7 linked regions of the Daphnia pulex genome follow. The protein of the gene in region 7 binds, or shares a complex with, the protein of the main gene of each other region. Links are inferred from orthologs where the notes say so. Each region holds a gene or a part of one and is shown on either strand. Other genes may lie near its edges.

Region 1 (3,970 bases), on a different chromosome or scaffold from region 7:
AATAGGCTTTACTTCAGACACGGAAGCATCTTCGCTGGATCCTTTGGAAACACCAGCTACCTCTTTCATGTCAACATCGATGTTTAAGTCAGCAACAGGTCCATAAGATGACACTGACTGATCATTGGTGAGGATAGCAACTGCTTCATTTAGATCATTCTTGGCTAAACGTAAAGCTCGTTTGATTTCTCCGATGTCCGGAAATCCCATGGCCATTAACGTGCTGATATTTTCGTCTTCGACGTCCATGACGTCTTCTCTCCGGCGTTTTAAAATTTTTATTGTTTATCTGAAGAGGAAACAAATACAAAATTAGAACATATCACGATGCACGATGAGTGTATCCCAAGCACTCTGCGCATTTTTTTTTTTGTTTTTTTGTTATCTTACTACGATCACAAGAGGCACGAACTCCTTCGCGGAGCTTTTTGAAATTCTTCTATACACATAGGATAAACTGCATGGAGGAGTGGCAAACAAATGTTAGCGGTAGGCAGGCCCCTTGTCAAATGCGCCCTCCCTATTAAACCGTGGGCGCTGACATCTTTGACATGTTGCCAGCTCATTCATTCCTCTAAACAGTGGTTTCAGACGGATTCGACTTTTAGAAAAAATGCTTAATGATTTTTTACCACATAATTTCAATTGAAAGTATGAAATCTCTTTAACAAATCTTCGTGGCTGCCTGTTTTTATTGTTTCATAGCGGTTAGTAATACCTATTTTAAAACTAGGAACTCGCAGGACTAGCGAAAACATGCGAAAATATTTCAAAAATTGAAATAATTATTCTTTTAACGATCCTTTATAACTCTGATTTCACCAGTAACTATTTTAAAAATTCTACACGAAATACGAAGACCTGAGAAGGCTCAGCGCTTAACGCTGCCACAAAGCTGATAAACAATTTAAACAAGTTATCGAAAAAGTCCAAAAAGTATTTGATGGTTGCTCGCTGCTCGGGGCAGAATATTTATTCAATTATTCCTTTTCCAATAAATTTTAAACAAATTTTCATTAATGAGGAAGTGGTTGATTACAAGAAGATTCTTAATTCTTATTTTTTGTCACGTTTGTCTCTTTGCCTGCCTTTGCGATAAACCCGATAAGGCATAAGGCGACAAGCCGACAACCAATGAAATCGAACAAGCTGCCCAAACGCAGGTGGCGCATTAGTGGTAGAATTGTAAGCAAACGGCAATACCGCAATATGGCAATAGGCATTAAGCCAAGGAAGCAAACGTAAAAAAGCAGTTGTTTCTCAGCGTGTTGCGATTGCAATTTTCTATTCATCCAAACAGTATAACATCTGTTAAGTGATATTTTCAAATTAATTTCCCTTCATCTGTCACAATAATCCTTCAGATGGAAAGTGTCGTCAAAGCTGTTGGTTTACCCGTAAATTTCTTAGAAGAAGTCGACGATGATTTGGAAGATGAACGAGACGAAAAAGCTCCAGCAAAGCCCGATAGCAATATTCGGAAACGACGGTATAGTTCAGAGGAGGAATACAGAAGAGAAAGGTAGACAACTGTACCAAAAGTGTTACAAGTAACAAATTAATTTACTTCATATTCATTTTTTTATCAGGAAAAAAAACTATGAAATAGGCACACGCTATTGGGGAGATGAAGGCCCTAGAGATAACTACACACAACATTCAAGAGAACAAGATCAACATTCAAGAAAAAGAGAAAATCAATTGAAAAAGGATGACAGAAAAACTAGTGAACAAGGTCCTTTAAATGAAGAGGATACTAAAGAGCCTAAGAGAGTTAAAGAAATGGATCCAGTGCTGACACGAACCGGAGGAGCTTACATTCCTCCTGCCAAGTTAAGAATGATGCAAGCCCAAATAACTGACAAGTCAAGCTTAGCTTTTCAGCGTTTATCTTGGGAGGCTCTCAAAAAATCCATTCATGGATTAATCAATAAAGTCAATGTGTCAAATATCCCATTGATTATAACATCCTTGTTCAAAGAAAATATTGTTAGGGGACGTGGTCTTCTAACTAGGTCCATCATTCAGGCACAAGCTGCATCACCAACATTTACACATGTCTATGCAGCCCTTGCTGCATTAATCAATTCCAAAGTATAAACGTGATTTATATTAATTCATGTATTTAATTTAATTCACATCACATTTGTTGATGTTTCAGTTTCCTAACATAGGTGAACTGCTATTATCTCGCCTTATTCTTCAATTTCGCCGTGGGTTTCGTCGAAATGACAAACAAATATGTATGAGTTCGACAAGATTCATAGCACATCTGGTGAACCAACAAGTGGTAATATTGAAATTTTGCTCTCATGTTTTGTTTTTCAAATGCACTGAAAATTTTTCTTGGTATTTTAGGCACATGAGCTTTTGGCTCTAGAAATTTTAACTCTTCTGTTAGAAAATGCAACTGATGATTCAGTTGAAGTCGCGGTTGGATTTTTGAAAGAATGTGGTCAAAAGTTAGGTGAAGTCTCCCCTCGAGGATTAACTGCTGTCTTCGATCGCCTCCGTCATGTTTTACACGAAGCTGACTTAGACAAACGCGTGAAGTACATGATTGAAGTAATGTTTCAAGTACGAAAGGATGGCTTTAAGGACAACCCTGCTATCGTGGAAGATTTGGATTTGGTGGAAGAAGAAGATCAATTCACTCATTTGATGTCGATACAAGAAGAAGAATTGGATCCCCAGGATATGTTGAGTAATAAGTTGCTATTAATGGATTTAAAAAATATCTGTATTCCTCAATCTACCAAGTTAGTTTACTGGGCTTAAATTTTTATTTATTTTTAAAATAATCTTTGACTGTAATGAGCCCCAAGTTCCGTGCTTTTCTTAAACTGTTAATAGTAGATTTTATATGTCTATCTCCACTTTGATACCACTAACTGTTTCGCGTATTTTTGTAGATGTTTTCAAGCACGACCCGGATTATGAAGCCAACGAAGAAAAGTACCAAGCTGTCAAAACAGAAATTATTGGAGATAATTCGGGCGAATCAGACGGTTCTGGAGAAGAAAATGATGAATCTGATGGAGATAGTGCTTCGGAGGAGGAAGCAAAAGGTAAGAATAGCATATACTTTTACTTGGGTCGATTCAATTTGTATGTTTTTAATTTTGTTTTTTTAGAACAAGGCGATATTGTTGACGAGACGGAGACAAACCTTATTGCTCTTCGACGCGTTATTTACCTTACTATTCAGAGCAGTTTAGATCACAATGAATGTGCCCATAAAATGATGAAAATGCAAATGAAACCTGGACAAGAAACTGAGTTATGCCATATGATCTTGGATTGCTGCACCCAACAAAGGACGTATGAAAAATTTTTCGGCCTTTTAGCCCAGGTACGATTTCTTATTAAATAAAAAACTATTCAAGTATATCAATTTTCTTTTCGGTGTATTAGAGATTTTGCCAGATTAATAAGGCATACATACCACCATTCGAGCAAATATTTCATGATACATACGACACAATTCATCGGCTGGATACTAACAAGCTTCGCAATGTAGCCAAAATGTTTGCCCATTTACTTTTCACAGATGCCATCAGTTGGCAAGTGATGGCTAACATTCGACTAACTGAAGAAGATACTACAAGCTCTTCGAGAATATTTCTTAAAATTTTATTTCAAGAAATGGCAGAGTACATGGGTCTCAGCAAGCTAAATCTTCGCCTCAAAGACCCGTCAGTGCACCAACTATTTTTTAAACATCTTGTTTGGTTATACGTCACCAATTTAATTTTTTTAATATTTTCGTTTTAGGACTTTGCAACCGTATTTTGAAGGAGTTTTCCCTCGCGATGATCCTCGCAACACTCGATTTGCCATTAATTTCTTTACTTCCATCGGTCTAGGAGGGTTGACGTAAGTTTTTCTATCTCGTTGATAGATTCTTTAAGATTAATTAATAATTTTGTGTTGCGTTGGATGGGACGTTTCAATTATGTAGAGACGAACT
Region 2 (2,958 bases), on a different chromosome or scaffold from region 7:
AAAGACATTGACCACCCTTCTTGATGTACTCTTCCAGCGGATCGTGCAAGTCATTATCAGACCATCGAGAAGCAAGTACTAGGAGGCTTGTGTTGCTTAGCCAAGCTTTTTTAGAACGAAATGAGAGTTCATCGAGATGGTAAAGGGCATAACTGTCAATCAATGTTACATTGTTTAAGATCAAGAATCCAGATATCAAATGTCTATACTGTTTATATACCAATCCGGCTCTAGTGTGGATTCAAAGAGGGCTCGATATTGCTGAAAAACTTCTTTGTCACTCGTACATATTAGAATGTTGGGCGGTCTTGCTGAGGAGGCCAGCAGTCGTTCCACAGGTCTCATGACACCAGCAATTTTGGTTACCTGTTACCAACTGGTTGTAAAAATTGCTTTAGTTATAAATTTGAATTAACGTGACAACTTACGAATAACATGAACAGCCCCACTGATGTGTGAAACCTGGAAATGAAATGAAAGAACACTTAAAGACGATTGAATACCTTTCGCAGAAACATTAAGTGTATTGCGGCGTTCAAAAAAGAAAATTGTTATGATACAAAACATTGCTGGTCACCAACGTGTCACTGCCCCACTCCCATATCGTCCAAACTAGCATCTGTTTTGCTTTCTTCATGAAGGAGAACATATTCGCGGGAACTGAAGCCAAACTTCACCACATCCTTCTCGAACAATTCGACGTAACGTTTGGATTCAATTTTTTGATTATTTACAAAAGTACCATTGGCTGCTTCCAGATCAATAATATATGGCCGGACAGTACGTCCTGCAGTTCCATCAGGCCGTTCGTAGTTTACCAACCGAAATTGGATCGCAGCGTGCTGTTTCGAGCAAGAGGGATGGTCGATTGGAATATCAGCAACTTTACGATCTCTTCCGATTAAGTAGGCGCTTTGACGGTGAAGGTACAACGTAGGCAATGCCTCTTCCCCTTTAAAGACGTAAAAACGCCACCGTCGCTTGGGAATTCTGGCTTCAGGTGGTTCACTGTATTTGACCACCACACCATTGAAAACATTCTTCTCTTCAGTCAATTTTCCTGATAGACCAAAGTTGGGTTTTTGCTTTTCAACGAGTGTTCCTTCTTCTTCTTCATCTTTAACTTGTTGGCCATACTGGTAGTTGGCTGCTTCAGCATCTTCACTTCGGGGGCTTTTGCGTCTCTGCTTAAAAGGTCTTGGTGGTCGATCTTCTGAATGTGGTTGCTCATGCCGTCTTGAAGGCCCTTCATTGTGTTGTGGACGTCTGAAACTTTGTTCATCATCACTAACTGGTTCTTTCTTGATTTTAACTGGAATTGGTGGGTCATTTCTTCGATTACTTTCTTTGTGTGAAACTTGTGAATCATGTCTCCTGCTGTCTGATTTCCGACTTCTTTCATAGTCATCACTTCTTGAATGGTAATGGTCGCTTCGTGAAGATTTTCGTGGTGGGGAAGAGTCACGTTCTTCACGACGTCTGTGAGTCTTGCCTCTTTCATGGCCTCGTTCGTGGGACCTTTTGGGACTCCTCTCGTCTTCGTTGTGCTTTACCATGGCGATCCAAACGAAATAAAACAAGATATGCACAAGTACTCTCTAATTACCTTAATGTTTCTGGCGTATTTCTCAAAAAAACGAGATCAATTCAATGTTTCAGTTTCAGTTTGATACAACTCGTTTCTCGGCTTGTCAACATGAAATGGTGTCGCAACTCGTAACCGTTGCCAGATTTACTTTCATCCACCACCTGTAAACGGCTAGCCGCTAGCGGTCCGCCGTCCGCGGACCTGCTCTCTGCTGCCTCACTGCCTGCTCTTTAATGTATTTATATTCTCATTTTTTTATGTAATGTTTTAGAAATTGAGTAATGCTTATGTATGCCAAATTGAGAATTTTTGTAATCGATTACAGCATAACATTTTCGAAATCAAAATTATGTTGTTAGAGAAGTATATTTTTCTTTTGCTCGTTGGGTCGTTGTAAAATATTTAAATAAATATTATCAAATATCTGATATTGTAATACATATTTACGTGGATTTAATAATTTTGCATTTGATTTAACGACGAAAACCAAATCGTTAAAATTTGATGTGGCACTCGCTGAGTCGCTGTTGAGTATAAAAAAGGAGGCCACGGTGTCATTCAGTCGTCGCGGTCTTTGTTCGATCCTTTTTGCCGTTGCGTTTTCATTTGTTGTCTGAGCTCTCGCACGATGACAAACCCCGAAAATCCTTCAGTTCCTCCCGAAGTTGTTCCAGAGTGGAACATAAAATTCAATCCTGTAGAAGTGAATGGAGACTTGAAAGAACACTTCACAAACTACGAGCAGCATGGACTGATGAAGAGCGAACCTGGTGGTTTTCTCTTAACGGATGAGTATGCACGCCATGCCAAAGAAATTTCACGTTTTCAACCAAGAAGCGACGACGTTTGGGTAGTAACCTTTCCAAAATGCGGTAAAATCCTTTTTCAATCATTTTTAAGATTTTTTTTATGTAATAGCTACATTTTTATAAAATAATAATTCGTAAAAATAAATATCCTAGTGGTATTTGTTTAGCAATTACTGCTATTACGTCACAATTTATTTCTTTGTCATCAATTTTTTTGGCCGTAGCCTTGAAAGTCTAGTAGCCAAATGGCAACCTTGTATTTCTCCCCGCCTATTTTAAAACACATAGTTTGAAACAAACAAATACAAATCTCTCGGATCTTGAAAGTGTTAACTTTTCGTATTCTCCCGCACATATAAAATTGATAACTTTGAATTTGTTTACTTAGGAACGACGTGGACACAGGAATTAGTGTGGATGATTCTCAACAATTGTGATCCAATTGGATCTAAGGCACCACTAATAGTTCGGTCACCCTTTCTAGAGTATGTCAGTTGTTGGGATGTCATTGAGAGCTTTAACAAGACATTTCCGTTTTCGGTTTATGAACTATATGGACTC
Region 3 (3,963 bases), on a different chromosome or scaffold from region 7:
CGTTCGAGATAGCTGGCTGATTGTACCCTCAAGGGTAAATCTTTCAGCGCTTTCGCTAACTAGAAAACAAATCACCAAAAGACATTGATTATTGAACGCGTAATTTAACAAATTATTATTTATCATAAATGTGGTTTGCTTACCGGTTTGTCATCCATCGTGTGTCGTTTTGGCAGACGAGAGGACAATGCTGCGTTGCCGTCGCATATAAAAAAAAGTCAGTAAAATTGTGAACCCTTCCTTCCCCTTTTTCGATTTTTATTTTTAATTGCTACAGAATTATTGAGTAAAAAAAATGACATACAATTTGATAAGAACAAGTGTTCGAGAAAGAGTTTATTTTTAAAAAATCAGCCACAAGTAAGCAAAGAATAATCCAATATCCGGGAAGGTCACCAATTACTGAAATTACCAAATGAATAGTTAGCAGATGTTTTAGCTTTTTTATGTTGAGAACTGCCGGATTCTTCTCCAGCCGAATCAGCTGGTCTATAAAAAAAAATAATAATAAGCTGCAATGAAACTATTTTATTTAATAGAAAATTAAAGATATACTTGTTGGTGAAAGCTTTAGGGTTGATGTATTTTCCTACACCAGATTGTTTGAAAACCTTAAGCTGGGCTTTAGGGATGGAAGCCTTTGCTTCCTTCAACTGTCTCTCAGCTTCTTCTAGCGCTGCGGCTCTCTCAATCACCAACTAAAATGTAAAAACAAAAGTAAATTTTGCTTCTAAGGTTGAATTGATTTTCTCGGCAACCTTTTCGTCTACTTCGGCATATGGGTCTGTAAATATCTGTGACGACTCAATAATAATCTCTTCTACGGGTCGATCTTTATTGTCAGTACCAATTCGTTCCATAGCGCTCAAAGTTTCCATTCCACCCACGACACGACCGAATATTGTGTGCTTTCCGTCCAGATGTTTACACGAGCGATAGGTGATAAAACTGAAAGAGTAATAATCAAATTGATGCGTAATGTATGCATAGAACTAGATAATTTAAACGTACAACTGAGATTTATTAGTGTTGGTTCCCGAGTTCGCCATCGATAAAATACCCCGACCGGTGTGGGATAGATTCGGCTTAAATTCATCTTCAAATGATCCTCCCCAGCAAGACTCTCCTCCGGTACCAGTTCCAGTGGGATCGCCACCTTGAATCTGGAAAATTTTTGTTAGGAAATCTCTGTAACAGCCCGTGATCACGTTGAGATCTACAGTACCATGAAATGCTTGATAGACCGATGAAACTTGGTGTTGTTGTAGTAGCCTTTTTTGCACAGGTTGACGAAATTTTCACACGTTTTAGGTACCATTTCACAATGTAACTCTAAATTAAGAGGCCCGACATTTGTAACTAGTCTAACATAACCTAAGAAATTAAATTGATGAAATAAAAACAAATTTAGATGGTTTGTGAAGAATTCATTACAAGAAACTACTTTAACCTTTTTTCTTAATGCGCTGATATCGAACGATACTTTCATCGAGAATTGCTGGTTCATGCTTAGTTTCTGGTGCCATCACCGTAGAAGTAAAACCAGCAGCGACAGCCCCGGTGGAATAATGAGCCTGATAGTTTTTTTTTGTTTTATAAACAAGTTATAAAAACGAAAATAATAATAAATAAAAGGGATAAATTTAAAACTTTAACTGAATCAAATTACCGCATTAATGGAATCAGCTACTGCTTTTACAGTTACAGTCTCTTCAGGTGCCTTGTATTCCTGTTCTAATTCTGCCAAAACTCCCTTCGTTTCTGCATTGATGTATTTGAGACGGGCTGCAGGATCGGTTTTGGCCCTTATTAATTCTAGTAGAGAGAATCATATTTATGAAAGCAAATCAATTGGCGTTGTTAAGTCTATAATCAATAAGACAACAAATTACCTTCATTTTCGATTTTTTGGTCATGCGTTACATGATAAAATTTAGCGATGTTAAACTTTTCTAGGTGAGATGGGTCTTGAAGAGTGATAATGTCTTGACGAGCAAATGTTTCATCTGTTAACAACTCTTTCCAGTTTTTGGGCTTCAGATTGAGTTGCTCTACTGCCTCATAGGAGAACACATTTCCAGTAGTTCTGATGGCCACAATGTGGGATTTGTCTGTGAACTGCTTGAACAATACAGGGCAATGGTATGCCCCTTCAGCATTTTTATGATAATTTAACCTCAGAAGGGCTTTGCTTTCCAATGGCTAGAAAAATTAAATTCTCATAAACATGCCTTTCTAGTTCAAGTTTATCGGATGAAGCAAACATGCAATACCCATAAGCAAAACTTACTTTTCCTGTTACTGGATTAGTTTTATACTTTTTCAAGTATGGAACTATAGCAAGAAGGTCGAAAACATTTCCTTCAGTGTCACACAAAGGATTCTCAAAAAGCTGAAGTGACAAGGCACAGTGATCATATGGAAGTCGTCGAAATGAAGCACTGGCACTATTTGGATTAACAGGCTTCTTCCCACCATACAATGTGCTCCACTCTGTACTTGTCAAGTACCTAAATATAAGATAGTAAACTAGTTAGTGTTTTCATACTAAACATATCATTCAAATTGAAATATCTTAGAACTTGCATTTTATCTTTCTGGTGTTGTCGTTTTCCCATTTTCAGATAGTTTTCACGCTTTGATGAAGAAAAACAGTATCAAAGTTCTCTGTGAAATACACAAATTAAAATCGAGCAAACTTTTTTCAGTTTATGGAATAGAACGCCAAACGACTAATAAACCGACTTGTTGTTTTGGCACACTGTCTTGAACGTCGTCTGCTTACCCTTCAAGCTTCAACCGCTCGACTTAAACTTTTAAACTTTTTGTCTTTTTATAACGATTATTGAATTGTTCTACCATTTAAAAAAAAATTTTATGTACGAAAAATAACATCCAACGATCACATCATCAAGAATTTCATTGGCCAAATTAAATGATGAAATATTGGTCGTTGGACGTTCAGCCACTAGGGGGCCAGGATCGACCTTCATAAAAGCCTCAAAATGATTCGAGATAAGATAATTAAGAGGAACCATTCAAAGAAGACGGCTAAGCCTAAGCGATATGAAAGTCAACAATGCATAATAATTGCTAGACTCCACTATAGACTAGGCAGCTGACAGCAAACAAAAGATTAAGTGAATAAATTGGTTCTATGGAAATTTCCCTTTCTGTGTATTTTCACACTCGCATTAAACTCGATGGGTGGGTCGACAGTTAATTTTTTTGTTCTAGCTTTCGCTCGTTTCATTCGCGTTTTTTTTAATTAAACCACCCTCAGATCGAATATTTTAGGTAAAAAAAAAGAATGATTCGAAAGACAAAGAAAAAAAAATAGAAATAATTAATGTGGTAGCATAACAAATTTAAGGAGATTTTGTTTAAAATTGATCTTCTTCCTTGTTCGTTTCCTTATAGTTTGCGTCTCTTGTGTTGAGACCTAAACGAAAATTAACAGAGCGTCCTCGTCGCACGAACAAGTCGAGCTGGAAACCTCGTGAGATTCATCCGGACGTCTGAGCCATTTGCCATGGCACTCGACGTTGGTCAGCGATGTCCAGCGTGTAATTCTACCCGGCACTCCGTGACCACCGCAACGGCCTCCCAAATAGTCACGAGTAGCCTTGTGTTCACATCGAACACAGACGACGCCGCCTAAACCACGAAAAGGAATAAAATAAAATAAATGTATCAAAACACAATTTTTGAAAAATGATATTTCCATCCGGATATTATTATTCCGGAAGTCAATTACCGTCAGTAAGAGAGTTGAACACTTTCTCTTTGTGGCAGGCCTTGGACACTTTGGTCAGCTCGAATGTCACGCAGTAACTGAATAAAGACGGAAGTGTTATTGCAACATGTATGCGCCAATTTTCAACGTCCAATTGAAGAGCAATCATTGGTGTCGAAAATTTCTTAAATTTTGTGGCTTGATTGTTTATAGGTATGTATCCTCAC
Region 4 (2,530 bases), on a different chromosome or scaffold from region 7:
AAATCTTCTTGGTGAGGAAAGAATTTTCTTTCACCATGATTTTTTTCAGATTTTAGTAAATTGAACTTTATCCCCAAAGTGCTAGACATAAAGTTTGGAAACATCGGCGCGCTCGCCATATGTTTCCAAGCTAAAGTGTATGCTAGTTAAAAAATCATAAAAAATTGAAATTAATAAATTTTTACTTGAAACTTTTACCAACGGTAGACGACATAGTCGTCTACATTTGGACAAAGTTTCAAATTTTTCTAATGAAACTCTGATTTTTCTCGATTTTTTAAAATAGAAAAATAGAGGGAAGAGAATAGGGGAGAACAAAGGGGTCCGGCGGTTTTCCCTCTTCTATTCTTCCCCCGGGCTAGGATTTCGTCCCTGCGCCACCAAAATAAATCGGAATTGTTTTTTAAAAAATCGGGACAAATCAGAGTTTCATTAGAAAAATTTGAAACTTTGTCCAAATGTAGACGACTATGTCGTCTACCGTTGGTAAAAGTTTCAAGTAAAAATTTATTAATTTCAATTTTTTATGATTTTTTAACTAGCATACACTTTAGCTTGGAAACATATGGCGAGCGCGCCGATGTTTCCAAACTTTATGTCTAGCACTTTGGGGATAAAGTTCAATTTACTAAAATCTGAAAAAAATCATGGTGAAAGAAAATTCTTTCCTCACCAAGAAGATTTTTTAAAATTTGCTTTGCGATAACTCAAACGTGAGTTATCGCGAAAAAAGGGAGACACATTGGCCCGTAAGCCGCCGTGTTAGAAGCGCGGAAACACTCGCCGTGTTTCCAAACTTTGTGAGGGTACTGTATATAATATATTTCGTATCCACGGATATAGCTCCTCTGATTTGATCTATTACACCCCGAAGAGCCATCTCATGAAAATCATGGAAAATCAATTTTATAGCCCACGCACAAATAAAATTCCGTGACGGGCTACCGATGTGGTAGCCTTCAAGTCAACTCTCTTTATTTTTCTTTGATACCTATAATAATGTGCCATCATGTTTGTTTGCCCAGATTCAGGTTTCGGTTTTTTGCCCAGTTTTTTTTTTATGGGGGAATTGGAGACTGCGTTATTTTGACAAGATTAAAAGCGTTAATTTGTTTCAAAATTCGCGCAACCTAAACGGATACATCTCCTACATCTAGCGGTAAAGAATTAAACTCCACCGCAGGTTTTATTATAGCCGTTCTAATGTCGCAATAGTTTTTCCGTTCTAGTTTCGTTTCTAAAATATGGACGTTCTAGTGTCGGGTGGGCGTTCTAGTGACGACGACAGTGATAGTGCCACGACAGATGTCGTGGCAATAGACAGTTTCGACCGTATTGCCACGACATGATGTCGTGGCAATAGATTTAACCATCCCAGTCTTAGAAAAGGTTAAAGCCATCTCTGCTTGTCTATGTGAACTAACTGAAGTTTGCCTTATGATCGCTAGGTGGTAGTTTGCAAAAACAAAGCTTCGACTAGTCGACTCGAATCTAGCTTTGAAGTTTTTTTGTTGATTGACTAAACTAAAAACGCAGTTAAAGCCTGTAGAAAGATGGTGTGCGATAAATGTGAGAAAAAACTGGGTAAAGTTATAACTCCAGACCCATGGAAATCAGGAGCTCGAAATACCACAGAAGGTGGTGGTCGCAAGCTCAATGAAAACAAAGCTCTTACTTCTACAAAAAATCGTTTCAACCCATATACACCGAAATTTGAAGGCTGCAGAATATGTAAACAGAAAGTTCATCAAAATGGATCGTATTATTGTAAGTACCAAAGAATTTATAAGAAAAGAAGCTGAATTGAGTCTAACAAAATTACTGTAATTTGGAATTTACAGGTCAACCTTGTGCTTATAAAAAAGGAATCTGTTCGATGTGTGGAAAGAAAATTATTGACACAAAAAGCTACAAACAATCTTCCACTTGATAATCTGTTGTGTTATGTTGTGTTACAATCTTGTCTATGTCTCCTAATCTTTAAGTGAATGTGACATTGAATGGAATATATGAAATTAAGATGCTTGAAACTCTTTTCGTACTCTAGTGCTTTACTCATGTGAAGTTTGAGACCTTACAATCACTGTAATTATCTTGAGTGGTACTATATTAATTTTTGGTATTAAAATTTGTAAATTTTTCATACCTCAAGTATATGCAGAATATTACCAGTAAATTTTCTTTGTAAATTATCTTATGGCATGGCTAATGGATGGATATGTAAATTATACTCTGAACTCCATCCCTTATTTTGTCAGAGGTAATGCTTAAAAGGTTAAGGACCAAAGGTTAATCTCCTTTGAACAATTAAACTTAGACTGAGAATTGTTTTTTTTATGAGCTCAATAATCAATAAACACAGCGAATGATGTCGTTCTATGCAATTTAGCATTAGAATTAAACATGCTGTTTACATATATATACTAATTCCAGAAAATTTGCAGTACTTTTTACTTGTTGGCTAAGTCCATGCTAAGCAATAACAAACAAAAAATATTACTTGTAAGGCGTTATACGATATATTTCGAGA
Region 5 (2,976 bases), on a different chromosome or scaffold from region 7:
AATATCCGTAAACTAATTTTCAGGACGTTGGTCCAACTTCTTGAGAGGACTAAGAAAAAGTACCAATCTCGATTAAAAAGACTAGAGCAGCAAATGGTCAACATGTCGGAAAGACATGCAATGCAGGTATATAGAGAAAAATTACGAGTTATCAAGTGTGACCGACATAAAAATGTCATGTGATTATCAGGTTCGCGTCCTAAAGCAACGAGTTATGGTGCTGGAAGATGAGTCTTCCGTCCGCCCTTTACCTTTAAGTTCAGCCCCAAGTGAGACTTCCCTATGATCTTACCCTTTTTTTTACCCTTCTCTGAATTACGCTTTGCTGTACTCATACGCTTCTTCTCGTTTTCAATTGTGTGATATATAAAATCAGAACGTGCTACTTACCATTTATAAGACAAGCTAATCTGAAAGTGCATGACTTTATACTATTTTTTTGTTTTGTTCCCTTACAACCAAATCTTTTTGGTTGTCACTTACTGAAAATCTCGGATGAATCAATTTCCTGTTGCAGTGTATTATCCGAATTCGATAAAGTAGGTTTACATTGAATTTCATTCATTAAGTGAAGCTAACTGTCTCTCAATTTCAGCACACGCGAGTTCGATTTCGTAGTTTTTAGTGATCAAACCAAACCAAGTGGCTTCCAAATGTTTCATTTTGTCTCCAACCTCTGTCTGATCTTTTTTTCTAGCCCAATTGACATCTTGGATTTGTTTCCTGTAAAGAAAAATATAATAGTGTATTTTGCAATATGGTGTCTACTTTACTGAAATCATACTTAAATTCCTGAAGATGCTTCTGAGATTGTTGGATCATCTGGGACAATACAGTGTTATAAATTCTCCATGATTCACAACCATACTCTGACATTAATTCCAAGTTCAAAATCCTGTTTTTTAATTGAAATTTTTTTAAATTTATGGTTGCTGTAAAATTTTTTTTTAGAAAACAAACCTTGTTGTTTGATGTTCTAATTGAGCCATTGAATTATCAACACACTCTATCCATGCTTGAAGATCATTTAGACGACCAGCAGATGGGGGTGGGAGTTCATATCGTTTCATGCTCAAAACATCCATTGGTTTCTTTTGAGACAGTCGCTCAAATTCAGTCTTCATCAAAGGAGTCTATGAACATGATAATTTCCATAATTATTACACACTCCTATCATTACTTCCATGCAGACAGTTCTTACTTCAAATGCTGACAGCTCAAGTGGAGGAAGATGTTCTAGGTAGTTTTTGGTTGGTCTATATCTTCGTGTCTCTTCATCAACCAATGCAAGTGCCTGATAGAAAGAAATTACTCTCATTAAACAACTATTGGACAAGAGCGAGAGTTCTCAGCAACATACAGTACTATGGTCTAGTACAATAATGTATTGATGTTAGAGATGACTAGGCTAACACAAGAATCTCCAAGCCTCAATTCGAAGCGATTCAAATATTTCAAAGTTTGCAATGTATAAGTTTTGCTTACCGCTTCTCGTAGAGTTGGATCTCCATATTCTTGGTCAACGTATGGTAAATCGTCAACCAAAATCCTTTCGTTCGGCGTGGAAATGTTTGTTGACGGAATCGGCATTTTGTGATTTGTGTCAAACTGTCTGTTGTCAGCAAGATTGTCAGATTTTCTGCTGGATTAATAAATATGAGCCACAGTTTTAGTAATTGATTTTCATTATGTCTAATTATTCATAAACTTACTTTTTGATAATGAATAAAGATCATTAACTTCCTTTAAATGAATAAAATATGAAAATAAATTGGTATATTAAATTTTATTCAATAATATTTTGGACACCGTTGCATTGTGAAACAAATAAAACAATATTAAAAATTTTATAACTAATCACTCCATTAAAATGTTTGAAATCATCAATTGAAACTCCATAATTTTTGTTATTAAACAGTGGATCAGTTCAGTGAATAATCTGTAATTTTTCAAGTAAATAATCAAGTAAAAAACGGAACGTAGAGGGCGGCAATTCTCAAAGTATGCCGGCAACATTGTAGACTTCCTCTTTGTCGCCATTACTGTGGGTCTCTTTCATTCGCCTTTTTACCCGGTCAGGACTATCTACCAAGATGGTAAGCATGAGGTTCTCCAAACATTTTACTAGTTTTTACATACATTAATTTACGAATAGTAAGTAAAAAGGTTAACGGGAGAAACGTGTTTTAAGAAAATTCTTGCGTGCGTATATTTTTCTAAGCCATTTTCTTGTTAATCTATGGCGAAAGTTTGGGAGTAAAATGTTACCCACAGCGTGGTTTCGTCCTCGTGTCAAATGGGCTCTTGCTGTTTTTCTATGTTAATTCAACGTCGTTCTTGGTTTATTGTTATGTTTTGGTTAATTGGTACATCTAGTTCAAAGTTTGTGTAAATTCAAGTGTTGTCTCTTGAAAATCTTAAATCTAATTTGTTTATCCATTTTGTTTTACAGAGTAAGGTGGTCGCGAGGCCGTTGATTACCGTTTACAATGAGAAGGCTGAGGCCTCTGGAACCAGCATCCAGCTCCCTGCAATCTTCAGGGCTCCCATTAGGCCAGACATTGTCAGCTTTGTTCAACAACAAATGTCAATGAATCGTCGTCACCCTTATTGTGTCAGCGAGAAAGCAGGTAACTTGTATGCCAATTATATGGCACACAGCATTGAAATGTAGGAGTAATTGTACGTCAGACTCTTCTTGTGCAGTGTGCAACACTAAAGCGAGTCCCTGAGGCCTTTCTCGCTTTGTTTTCTTAAAGTGAGGGGTTGGGCAACCGGACAAACTTCATACACACATGTAATGGTGTGATTGTTAATCTTCTTCTTTCCTATTACAGGTCATCAGACAAGTGCTGAATCATGGGGTACTGGTCGTGCTGTGGCTCGTATTCCCCGTGTCCGAGGAGGTGGTACCCATCGCTCCGGTCAGGGTGCCTATGGTAACATGTGTCGTGGTGGACGTATGTTTGCCCCCAC
Region 6 (3,936 bases), on a different chromosome or scaffold from region 7:
TTTTTAATGCTTCAAAAGGGATGTTAAAATTTGAACTCTTTGTATTTCTTGGCCTGTTTAGTGTCCGTCTGTTGTTGTTGTCTCTTTCTCTTGCTCTGTTTTTGCAATTACGAAAACATTTTATTAATCAAGTTAATAATCACTGATTTGGATTTACGACTTACCTTCTGCTTGGCGGCATGTTCAGCCACCATGTCACTGAAATCTTCCTTAGCCAAGTTGCCTTGTTGCTCCCGCAATGTTTGTTCATAACGAGCGGCCATTGATTCAGAGTCCAAACCTTCCAACTCGGAGGGATCCAAACTAAGTTCCACACCACCACTACCTATGAAAAATTTAATTGAAAAATCATAATAACAACAAATTAACTAAAAAATGACAAATCTTACTCTTCTGAGTGGTCGTAGCTGAAGCGATATCATATACATGGGTAGATCCCATCATCGCTTGACCGATTCTGTCCGTTCGCTTTTCTGGAAGGACGGTATACAGCTGAGGCGTTTCGTTACTAAATAAGAGTGAAAATAGGAATAATTAAAAATGTAAAGTAGCAGTTGTATAGTAGTTGACACTGGTTACATACCTCTCCATCTCTGCTTCAATCTTTTTCTTTCGTAGCTCAATCATATCTGGTGTTTCCAGACCAGCAGGTACAGATGAGAATCCCGAAGGAGTAGCAAGTCCTTCTGCAGGAGTAACCAGACCTGATTGATCAATGGCGCCTTCTTCGTCCTCTCCTTCTTCCTCTTCACTCTCCTCAACTTCCTCCTCCTCTTCTTCCGATTCAAGTTCACCCCACAAGGTACGATCAACTTCTTCGTCGAGTAAAATTGTCTGAAAAAGAGGCAAAAGTATTCGTGGTTAATAGAATTTGTTATACACAGAGTATGAGATATTTTCTTACATCGCCTGCGATTCCAGTCAATCCAAAAACATCGCCGTACAGAGGCCGCCCGAATTCATCGACAGGAGGTTTTCCCCAACCTCCGGCATGGTAGCCAAAGGAAGAACCATCAGGAATTGGAGCGTTCAATCCTGGAATCTTCAAGTTAGGGTAAGACGGTGGTGGACCATATCTTTGCATGGCAATCAACCAAGGAGGAGGAATTCTTAAAGAAAACGCCATTAACATTAACTACTGTAACACAAAACGGTGTCAAATTAAGAATAGATTCTTACTTGTTTGAACTAGGACCAACAGGCATTCCGAGAGCAGTTCGCAGTTCGTCAGACAACTCTCCGGGTTTTTTGTCTTTCATTCGAGTTTCAAATTCTTTTCCTTCATAGTATAAATCACCCATAATCGTCATCTTGGGTTTGGTTTGCCATTTGAAGAAAGCGTCATGCAACTTTTGATAGTCGATATCAACACGCCCCATCTTGGGTCGAACACGCTCACGCATTTTAGCTTTAAGTGTTTTTGACTCTTCCTTTTCCTGCAAAGCAGCTCGCATTTCCATGATTCCGGTCTTTTTGATGAAATCGGGCAAATTGAAAGGAGGCTTTTCTATTCCACGTTTTCCCTAAAGTACAAAAAAATTTGTTTAAAACGAATTGTTTACCCTTTGTGCATAGTAAAATATACCTGTAAGTACTTGCGCTTCGCACACCAATGTCGAGGAACTGGGACCGAATTTCTGGTTGCTTTCAAAAGAACTAACAGTTTGGGGTCTCTAGCAGTAACGTCGTGCATCTCTACGACGTCTGGTCTGGCAACACATTGCTTCAAATCGGCCACACTTAGTCGAGTAAGTTGTTTTAGTTTTCTTTTTGAAACTTTTGGCTTGTCATCATCAGCATTTTCCTTTTTCTCCTCCAAATCTTCCTCTTCTGCAAACTTGGGGACCTTCTTAAGTTCTAAACTTCTTTGAAGTTCTTTCTTTTTGGCTTCATCTTCTTCAGCTTTCTTTGCAGTTTTTTCATCAATGATTTTAAATGCTTCGAAGATTTTGGCAAACTGTCGGTAGAAAGGATTTTTGTCGTCATAAATGATTTCTTCCTGGACATACTCAATATCCACTTGTGGAGGTTCTTCAGCATCATCATTCCTTTCATTTTCTTCTTCTTCTTCTTTCTGTTGATGTCTCTTAGTGCGCTTCTTCTTCTTTTTCTTCTTTTGATTTCTTTGAGTTTTAGTTTTTTCTTCAAGGTTTTCTTCCCCACCGAAATCATCTTTCCTCTCTTCAATAGTTCCTTCAGTTTCTATAACTGTTTTGACAGGGATTTCATTAACTAAAAAAAAAATAGAAAAGAATAAAGTTCATTCCTGCAAGCGAAACCTTTCATGAAGACTAGAAAATTTATAAAAGTGTTACTCACTAATGTTATCAACCTCTCCAGAGTGGCCCGTTTCTCGTACTCGGTATTCTTTGTAAGCAAGGACTTCTTCAAGTGCTGATGGGAGATGTTCATGGGCGGGAATGTCTTCATCACCTGGAGGAGGTGACATCGGTCTAGCACCTGATCCATACATACCGACAGCATTACCCTGGAAGGACCTTGAAGGATCTCCATACATGTAATTCTCCTGGCCGTAGCCGGGCGGCATGTGATGATCCATGTCAAATTCAACTAAATAACTTTCTGTTTCTAAAGAATAATCACACAATCAAAAGGGTGTTTCAAATCAATAGACAAAATAGACGCGTCCAAGTAAAACACGATGAAGTTTTACGTTAATTTAAAACTGCCTTGAAAGAAACACGATAGCAAAACAAGTTTGTTAGAGAACCAAACGGGTGAAGCGAGTAAACGACGACCAAATGAAGCCGAATCTAAAAGCCATGATCAAATCGTATATTCATTGAGGTACCACAGAAAACCAGCAGATGGCGTTCACGACGCGCCCTAAATTTTTAATAAAGGCTTGTGCACACTATCAACACCAGATGGCAGTCTGATGAATCTTAAATGATTTTTTTTTGTGGTGGCACACTGAGAGAGATGCAGTTGCAGTCAAAACGGTTTCTTAAACCGAAGTGCTCTGAGAGTATTGCTAAAGCGGTGGGAGTGGTGTGATTAGTTAGTTTGTGAACGTATTGTTTTCATTGAGATCGTCCAGTTCATCGCGAGGCCGGTAAGTTTGGCCGATTCTGTTTTGGTGTGTGTTGACAGGCTTTTCGTCGGGGCTTGTTTTCAGTTTCTCATTCAAGGCAGTCTTGGTTGGTTTTCTCTCTGCCCAGAGGTCTACAGCATCAAGTGAAACCGACGGCATTTGTTCTCTCCCCTTTACGTTTGTACATACCTTTTGTAGATTGTTTTTTCCAGCCTATTTGATATTATCGTTTTTCGATGGGAAAATTCTCATCGACAATCACATTTTCGTAAAATCTGATGAGAAACGTTGCGTGTGGCCATTTCACCCCTCTTGAGATTTTTTGGTGTCGGTGAACCGATCAAACGTTGGTAGAAGCTAAAAGAGAAATCAGTTTCATTATCAACAACCCTGATGTGAGATGTGCCTGTGAGCCGGATCGATAAGAGACTTTCATCACACAGGCCGTGTAGCAACTTCACTAGGTCTCTCTCAGACTCTCACGCCATTACGTATACACGTTGACATTCTTTCCACGAAGCCATTACCGTTTCTTTTTCTCTCCTTGTCTCTCATATACGTTTACGGTTTTATTTTTTCTTTTTTTTGACGATGAGTGAAAGAGTCGGCCTTTTTCGCCATAGGGCATTGTTGATCCAGGGTCAGTGCAACCGCAAGGCCAAGAAACTAACCAATTTGGTTGCTTTTCCCACTTTGAAGATTGTGTGTGTGTGTGCTGCAGCTAGTAGTAGTATATTTATTATCAGTAGATTATTAAGCAACCCTTGTCCTCTAACCGTCTGCTGACATGCTTATCGATATATCATTTGCAGACGAGGTAACTTCATTTATTGATTCGACCCTTGGCTGGCTTTGAACAAAGGTAAATCATGAACGTAATC
Region 7 (3,085 bases):
GGGGCAGGAAAATTGAAATGAAGAAAGTTATTAACTAAAAAGTTCTGTCGAGTTTTTTTACCGACTTCGTTTGTTTTTTGCCTTGCTTTTTCATTTCATTAACGTTATTCTCTGTTGAAATATTGGGATGGGTACTATTGCTTTTAACTATAACATGGCAAAAGATGAGCTATATATTGTAGGGGGTTTAATAACTTTACTGCATGGCGATTTCACCAATGGTTTAATGTTATTATGTATCAGGAGAATCGTCATTTGCCAACCAGTTCTTTCATGGCAGCGTACAATCAATTCACTCTCCAATCATCGATGAATTCGACATTGGCGATAATGGAAGCAAAGCTGCACGTGGACAGGCGTTTGTTGTTGATTATACTGTTCGTGCGGTCAGTGATCTAGTGTATTTTCACATGAGCCGATCCCTGTACCAAGCAGTCAGAAGTGCTACCGTCCTAGAGCGGGTACAGCGTGAAGTTGTGCCACGAATGACGGAATGCGAATCTGCTTTCATGTCTAGCAGAGAAGATTCTGATACGGTATGGGATTCCTGCAACTGAATTACTTTTATGTAGATGATAAATATTGTGACTAACCCAATTTTTTTTTTAAATTGCATTTTAGTCTGTAAATTTGACGAACGGGTTTTCACCTATTGAGTTACAACCTGACAGTTCTCGTTGTAATTCTAACTGCCTCCTGACTAGATCTGATCCGGAAAAAGAAAGCCTACTAAGTAGTTCACGAGGTAGTTCATTACCTAGTACCCCAAATGTTTGTGTGGTCGATAGTCGATACAAAAGAAATGACGTTTTCAGTAGTTGTTCACCCCAGACCATCATTAATCATCAAAATGATACTGGAAATTACTCTTTTCCACACCGTTCTGATCGATAATTCCTTGGATAATTCGATTTAGTGAAATATTTGATGAAAACTGGGAAAACAGTTGAACAAATAGTTCGTCTACAACCGCTGGCGCGCTCAAATATTAGTGAAATTGTCGGAGAACGATTAATGTGGATGCATCCTATAAATGTGGTACCACTTCTTGACATTCCCGTTGATAAAATAATAATGTAGAAAAGGGAAGGTGCAAGACGATGCGCACTACTATGGTTTGTTGTTTTATCAATCTAAATTTGTTTTAGTAGTGATTGAAAATCTAGAACTTTCATTGTCAACACATTCACACAGTCGATTTTTTTATTGGTTATTAAAAATAAACCACAAACATATGTATTCCTTTAATGTACTGTAATTGCGTAACATAAATCGTGTGTGGAAATGTAGGAAACCAGTTATGTGAGGTGAAACAAAGTAACCTATTTCGTACTTTTTTTAATTAACAAAATTTCGCGGGTTTTCTGATCAAATCGGGGGAGGAGCATAAAAATCGACACTAGCGACACCACATTGAAAACGAAGAACTATCAACCTGCTTCTTCTGCTTCTTGCATGAGTTGCATCTCGACTCGAGATTCTCGAGTAAGAATCCAACTTCTGTCGTGTGTCCTTGATTAGTTGATTTTAATTGTGTTGGGGGAAAAGCGTTTAGTAACTTTGGAGGTTTTCAAGAGTCGGATACAACAGAGCAACTCTTTCATCAAAGCCAAGTACAAGTAGCATTTTCCACAGTAATTGAAAAATCGTTAGAAAATGACAACTGCTTCGCGACCAACATTTGCCCCTGCTACTGGAGGACAAGGCAGGGGAGAAACGTCTCTCAGTTCTATGAGTAAGCAATATTCGAGTCGAGATCTTGCATCACATACTAAACTAAAATACAGGTAAAATTTAAATTTAATTCAAAAATTCTGACATTCTAATTTTATTTCTTTTGATAGGGATATTGGTCAGGGATCATCAGAGGAAATTCGCAACAAGGATCTAAAAAGAGATCTAGAAGAACGGGAAAAATCTCATAAGGAAAAAGGAGATCGCAAAGACAGAGATAGGGCTGTTAAATCAGCTTCGTCAGTATCTTCCCAGTAAGTCTGAAAAACATTTAACTTTTTTTCCCTATCTCTACAAACTATTTCAGTTATGGGATTAAAGAATGTGTTAACACTTTGCAGGAAGAAATTACGTGTTGATCCTAGTAGCTTGGATGCAGATGATCCCATTGAAGACGAAAGTGATGACAGTGTTGATGAAGAAGATGAAGATGACACTGCTGAATTAATGGCAGAGCTTCAGAGAATAAAGGGTGAACGAGCATCTGAATTGGCCAAAAAGGTATTATCATTGACTTAGATGCTCTTGTTTGTCAAATACACAAATTGCTTGTTTTTCAGGAAATGGAACAGAGACAAGAAGAGGAACGTATCAGAATGGAAAATATTTTAAGCGGAAATCCATTGTTAAATTACGCTGGGAAACCTCAGAAATCTGACTTGCGTGTCAAACGACGATGGGATGACGATGTTGTCTTCAAAAATTGTTCCCGTGCTGAGCCGGAAAGGAAAGAAATCACTTTTATTAATGATTCACTTCGGTCTGAATTTCATAAGAAATTCATGGACAAGTATATTAAATAATTTTTTATGTTCCATGCATTTGATTAAATACATTTCCTGTCTTAATTACTAAGTTTATTTGTAAAATTTTTTTTTGTGGCTGATTCGTTAATCGTCTGTAAAGGACTAAAGACACTTTAATTCAGTATACCAATTTTTCCTTTAAAAAGTTTTCTTATTCATTCATTGGCATACTTACAATATAAGAAAATATTTTTAAATTATTTATTCCTCTTTGTTCATCAAATAGAATTTTATAATTCTAAATATTAGAAATTGTTGACATTACAATAAAAAAAAACCTCGATCTCTTTATTATCGCGACGTGACGACTCTAGTCGTCATAATCTTCGATGATGATATCAGCGTCCTCGTCCCGATCCTTTTTACCATTCGAGTTTACGGAGTCCACTACATTTGCTGAAAAATCAGTGGATTGACTAACTTGAAACTGGTGGTAATTAAGCTGGCCTGATGTTGATTTTAACCCTGTATCAATTTAATTAAATGAATAATAATAAGATATTTAAAAATAAAGAGAAATGAGATCTCACCGTCTGTTATTTTAG

Evidence for each region.
Region 1: spliceosome-associated protein CWC15 homolog (region 7) and pre-mRNA-splicing factor CWC22 homolog share a complex: the UniProt entries of both Homo sapiens proteins name them as parts of the minor spliceosome. The link is inferred for Daphnia pulex from reciprocal best matches to the Homo sapiens genes CWC15 and CWC22.
Region 2: spliceosome-associated protein CWC15 homolog (region 7) and smad nuclear interacting protein 1-like share a complex: the UniProt entries of both Homo sapiens proteins name them as parts of the minor spliceosome. The link is inferred for Daphnia pulex from reciprocal best matches to the Homo sapiens genes CWC15 and SNIP1.
Region 3: spliceosome-associated protein CWC15 homolog (region 7) and RING-type E3 ubiquitin-protein ligase PPIL2-like share a complex: the UniProt entries of both Homo sapiens proteins name them as parts of the minor spliceosome. The link is inferred for Daphnia pulex from reciprocal best matches to the Homo sapiens genes CWC15 and PPIL2.
Region 4: spliceosome-associated protein CWC15 homolog (region 7) and cysteine-rich PDZ-binding protein-like share a complex: the UniProt entries of both Homo sapiens proteins name them as parts of the minor spliceosome. The link is inferred for Daphnia pulex from reciprocal best matches to the Homo sapiens genes CWC15 and CRIPT.
Region 5: spliceosome-associated protein CWC15 homolog (region 7) and pre-mRNA-splicing factor SPF27-like share a complex: the UniProt entries of both Homo sapiens proteins name them as parts of the PRP19-CDC5L splicing complex. The link is inferred for Daphnia pulex from reciprocal best matches to the Homo sapiens genes CWC15 and BCAS2.
Region 6: spliceosome-associated protein CWC15 homolog (region 7) and splicing factor 3B subunit 2-like share a complex: the UniProt entries of both Homo sapiens proteins name them as parts of the minor spliceosome. The link is inferred for Daphnia pulex from reciprocal best matches to the Homo sapiens genes CWC15 and SF3B2.

Annotation. Positions count from the first base shown.
Region 1 is NC_060018.1:7,249,544-7,253,513, forward strand, and holds the start of pre-mRNA-splicing factor CWC22 homolog, read left to right. Parts: upstream 1-1,170; 5' UTR 1,171-1,299; exon of another isoform or gene 1,300-1,364; coding exon 1,365-1,522; intron 1,523-1,589; coding exon 1,590-2,094; intron 2,095-2,161; coding exon 2,162-2,290; intron 2,291-2,358; coding exon 2,359-2,704; intron 2,705-2,912; coding exon 2,913-3,352; intron 3,353-3,414; coding exon 3,415-3,695; intron 3,696-3,774; coding exon 3,775-3,876; intron 3,877-3,961; coding exon 3,962-3,970. Other genes in the region: ubiquitin carboxyl-terminal hydrolase 24-like, read right to left, coding at 13-249. UniProt on the Homo sapiens protein: Required for pre-mRNA splicing as component of the spliceosome. As a component of the minor spliceosome, involved in the splicing of U12-type introns in pre-mRNAs. Promotes exon-junction complex (EJC) assembly.
Region 2 is NC_060018.1:419,648-422,605, forward strand, and holds smad nuclear interacting protein 1-like, read right to left. Parts: upstream 1,613-2,958; 5' UTR 1,557-1,612; coding exon 585-1,556; 3' UTR 501-584; downstream 1-500. Other genes in the region: biotin--protein ligase-like, read right to left, coding at 1-152, 221-366, 429-437; sulfotransferase 1B1-like, read left to right, coding at 2,217-2,460, 2,786-2,882. UniProt on the Homo sapiens protein: Required for pre-mRNA splicing as component of the spliceosome. As a component of the minor spliceosome, involved in the splicing of U12-type introns in pre-mRNAs. Down-regulates NF-kappa-B signaling by competing with RELA for CREBBP/EP300 binding.
Region 3 is NC_060022.1:781,827-785,789, reverse strand, and holds RING-type E3 ubiquitin-protein ligase PPIL2-like, read right to left. Parts: upstream 2,801-3,963; 5' UTR 2,619-2,800; coding exon 2,587-2,618; intron 2,511-2,586; coding exon 2,291-2,510; intron 2,203-2,290; coding exon 1,893-2,202; intron 1,816-1,892; coding exon 1,670-1,815; intron 1,575-1,669; coding exon 1,451-1,574; intron 1,375-1,450; coding exon 1,226-1,374; intron 1,164-1,225; coding exon 1,012-1,163; intron 949-1,011; coding exon 759-948; intron 699-758; coding exon 556-698; intron 490-555; coding exon 393-489; 3' UTR 322-392; downstream 1-321. Other genes in the region: eIF-2-alpha kinase activator GCN1-like, read right to left, coding at 1-59, 144-158; somatomedin-B and thrombospondin type-1 domain-containing protein-like, read right to left, coding at 3,443-3,657, 3,758-3,834. UniProt on the Homo sapiens protein: Has a ubiquitin-protein ligase activity acting as an E3 ubiquitin protein ligase or as an ubiquitin-ubiquitin ligase promoting elongation of ubiquitin chains on substrates.
Region 4 is NC_060021.1:4,590,194-4,592,723, forward strand, and holds cysteine-rich PDZ-binding protein-like, read left to right. Parts: upstream 1-1,433; 5' UTR 1,434-1,553; coding exon 1,554-1,767; intron 1,768-1,841; coding exon 1,842-1,930; 3' UTR 1,931-2,030; downstream 2,031-2,530. UniProt on the Homo sapiens protein: As a component of the minor spliceosome, involved in the splicing of U12-type introns in pre-mRNAs. Involved in the cytoskeletal anchoring of DLG4 in excitatory synapses.
Region 5 is NC_060018.1:4,114,108-4,117,083, forward strand, and holds pre-mRNA-splicing factor SPF27-like, read right to left. Parts: upstream 1,774-2,976; 5' UTR 1,713-1,773; intron 1,643-1,712; 5' UTR 1,591-1,642; coding exon 1,486-1,590; intron 1,295-1,485; coding exon 1,202-1,294; intron 1,134-1,201; coding exon 961-1,133; intron 896-960; coding exon 785-895; intron 724-784; coding exon 558-723; 3' UTR 501-557; downstream 1-500. Other genes in the region: uncharacterized protein LOC124189006, read left to right, coding at 24-126, 191-269, 1,498-1,529, 2,453-2,630, 2,838-2,976. UniProt on the Homo sapiens protein: Required for pre-mRNA splicing as component of the activated spliceosome. Component of the PRP19-CDC5L complex that forms an integral part of the spliceosome and is required for activating pre-mRNA splicing.
Region 6 is NC_060020.1:5,125,182-5,129,117, reverse strand, and holds the start of splicing factor 3B subunit 2-like, read right to left. Parts: upstream 2,801-3,936; 5' UTR 2,561-2,800; coding exon 2,320-2,560; intron 2,233-2,319; coding exon 1,586-2,232; intron 1,524-1,585; coding exon 1,180-1,523; intron 1,110-1,179; coding exon 905-1,109; intron 835-904; coding exon 584-834; intron 509-583; coding exon 390-508; intron 326-389; coding exon 165-325; intron 96-164; coding exon 24-95; 3' UTR 1-23. UniProt on the Homo sapiens protein: Component of the 17S U2 SnRNP complex of the spliceosome, a large ribonucleoprotein complex that removes introns from transcribed pre-mRNAs.
Region 7 is NC_060025.1:5,440,125-5,443,209, forward strand, and holds spliceosome-associated protein CWC15 homolog, read left to right. Parts: upstream 1-1,420; 5' UTR 1,421-1,656; coding exon 1,657-1,787; intron 1,788-1,844; coding exon 1,845-1,988; intron 1,989-2,075; coding exon 2,076-2,235; intron 2,236-2,294; coding exon 2,295-2,537; 3' UTR 2,538-2,585; downstream 2,586-3,085. Other genes in the region: unextended protein-like, read left to right, coding at 244-536, 622-894; cell cycle checkpoint protein RAD17-like, read right to left, coding at 2,851-3,005, 3,071-3,085. UniProt on the Homo sapiens protein: Involved in pre-mRNA splicing as component of the spliceosome. Component of the PRP19-CDC5L complex that forms an integral part of the spliceosome and is required for activating pre-mRNA splicing.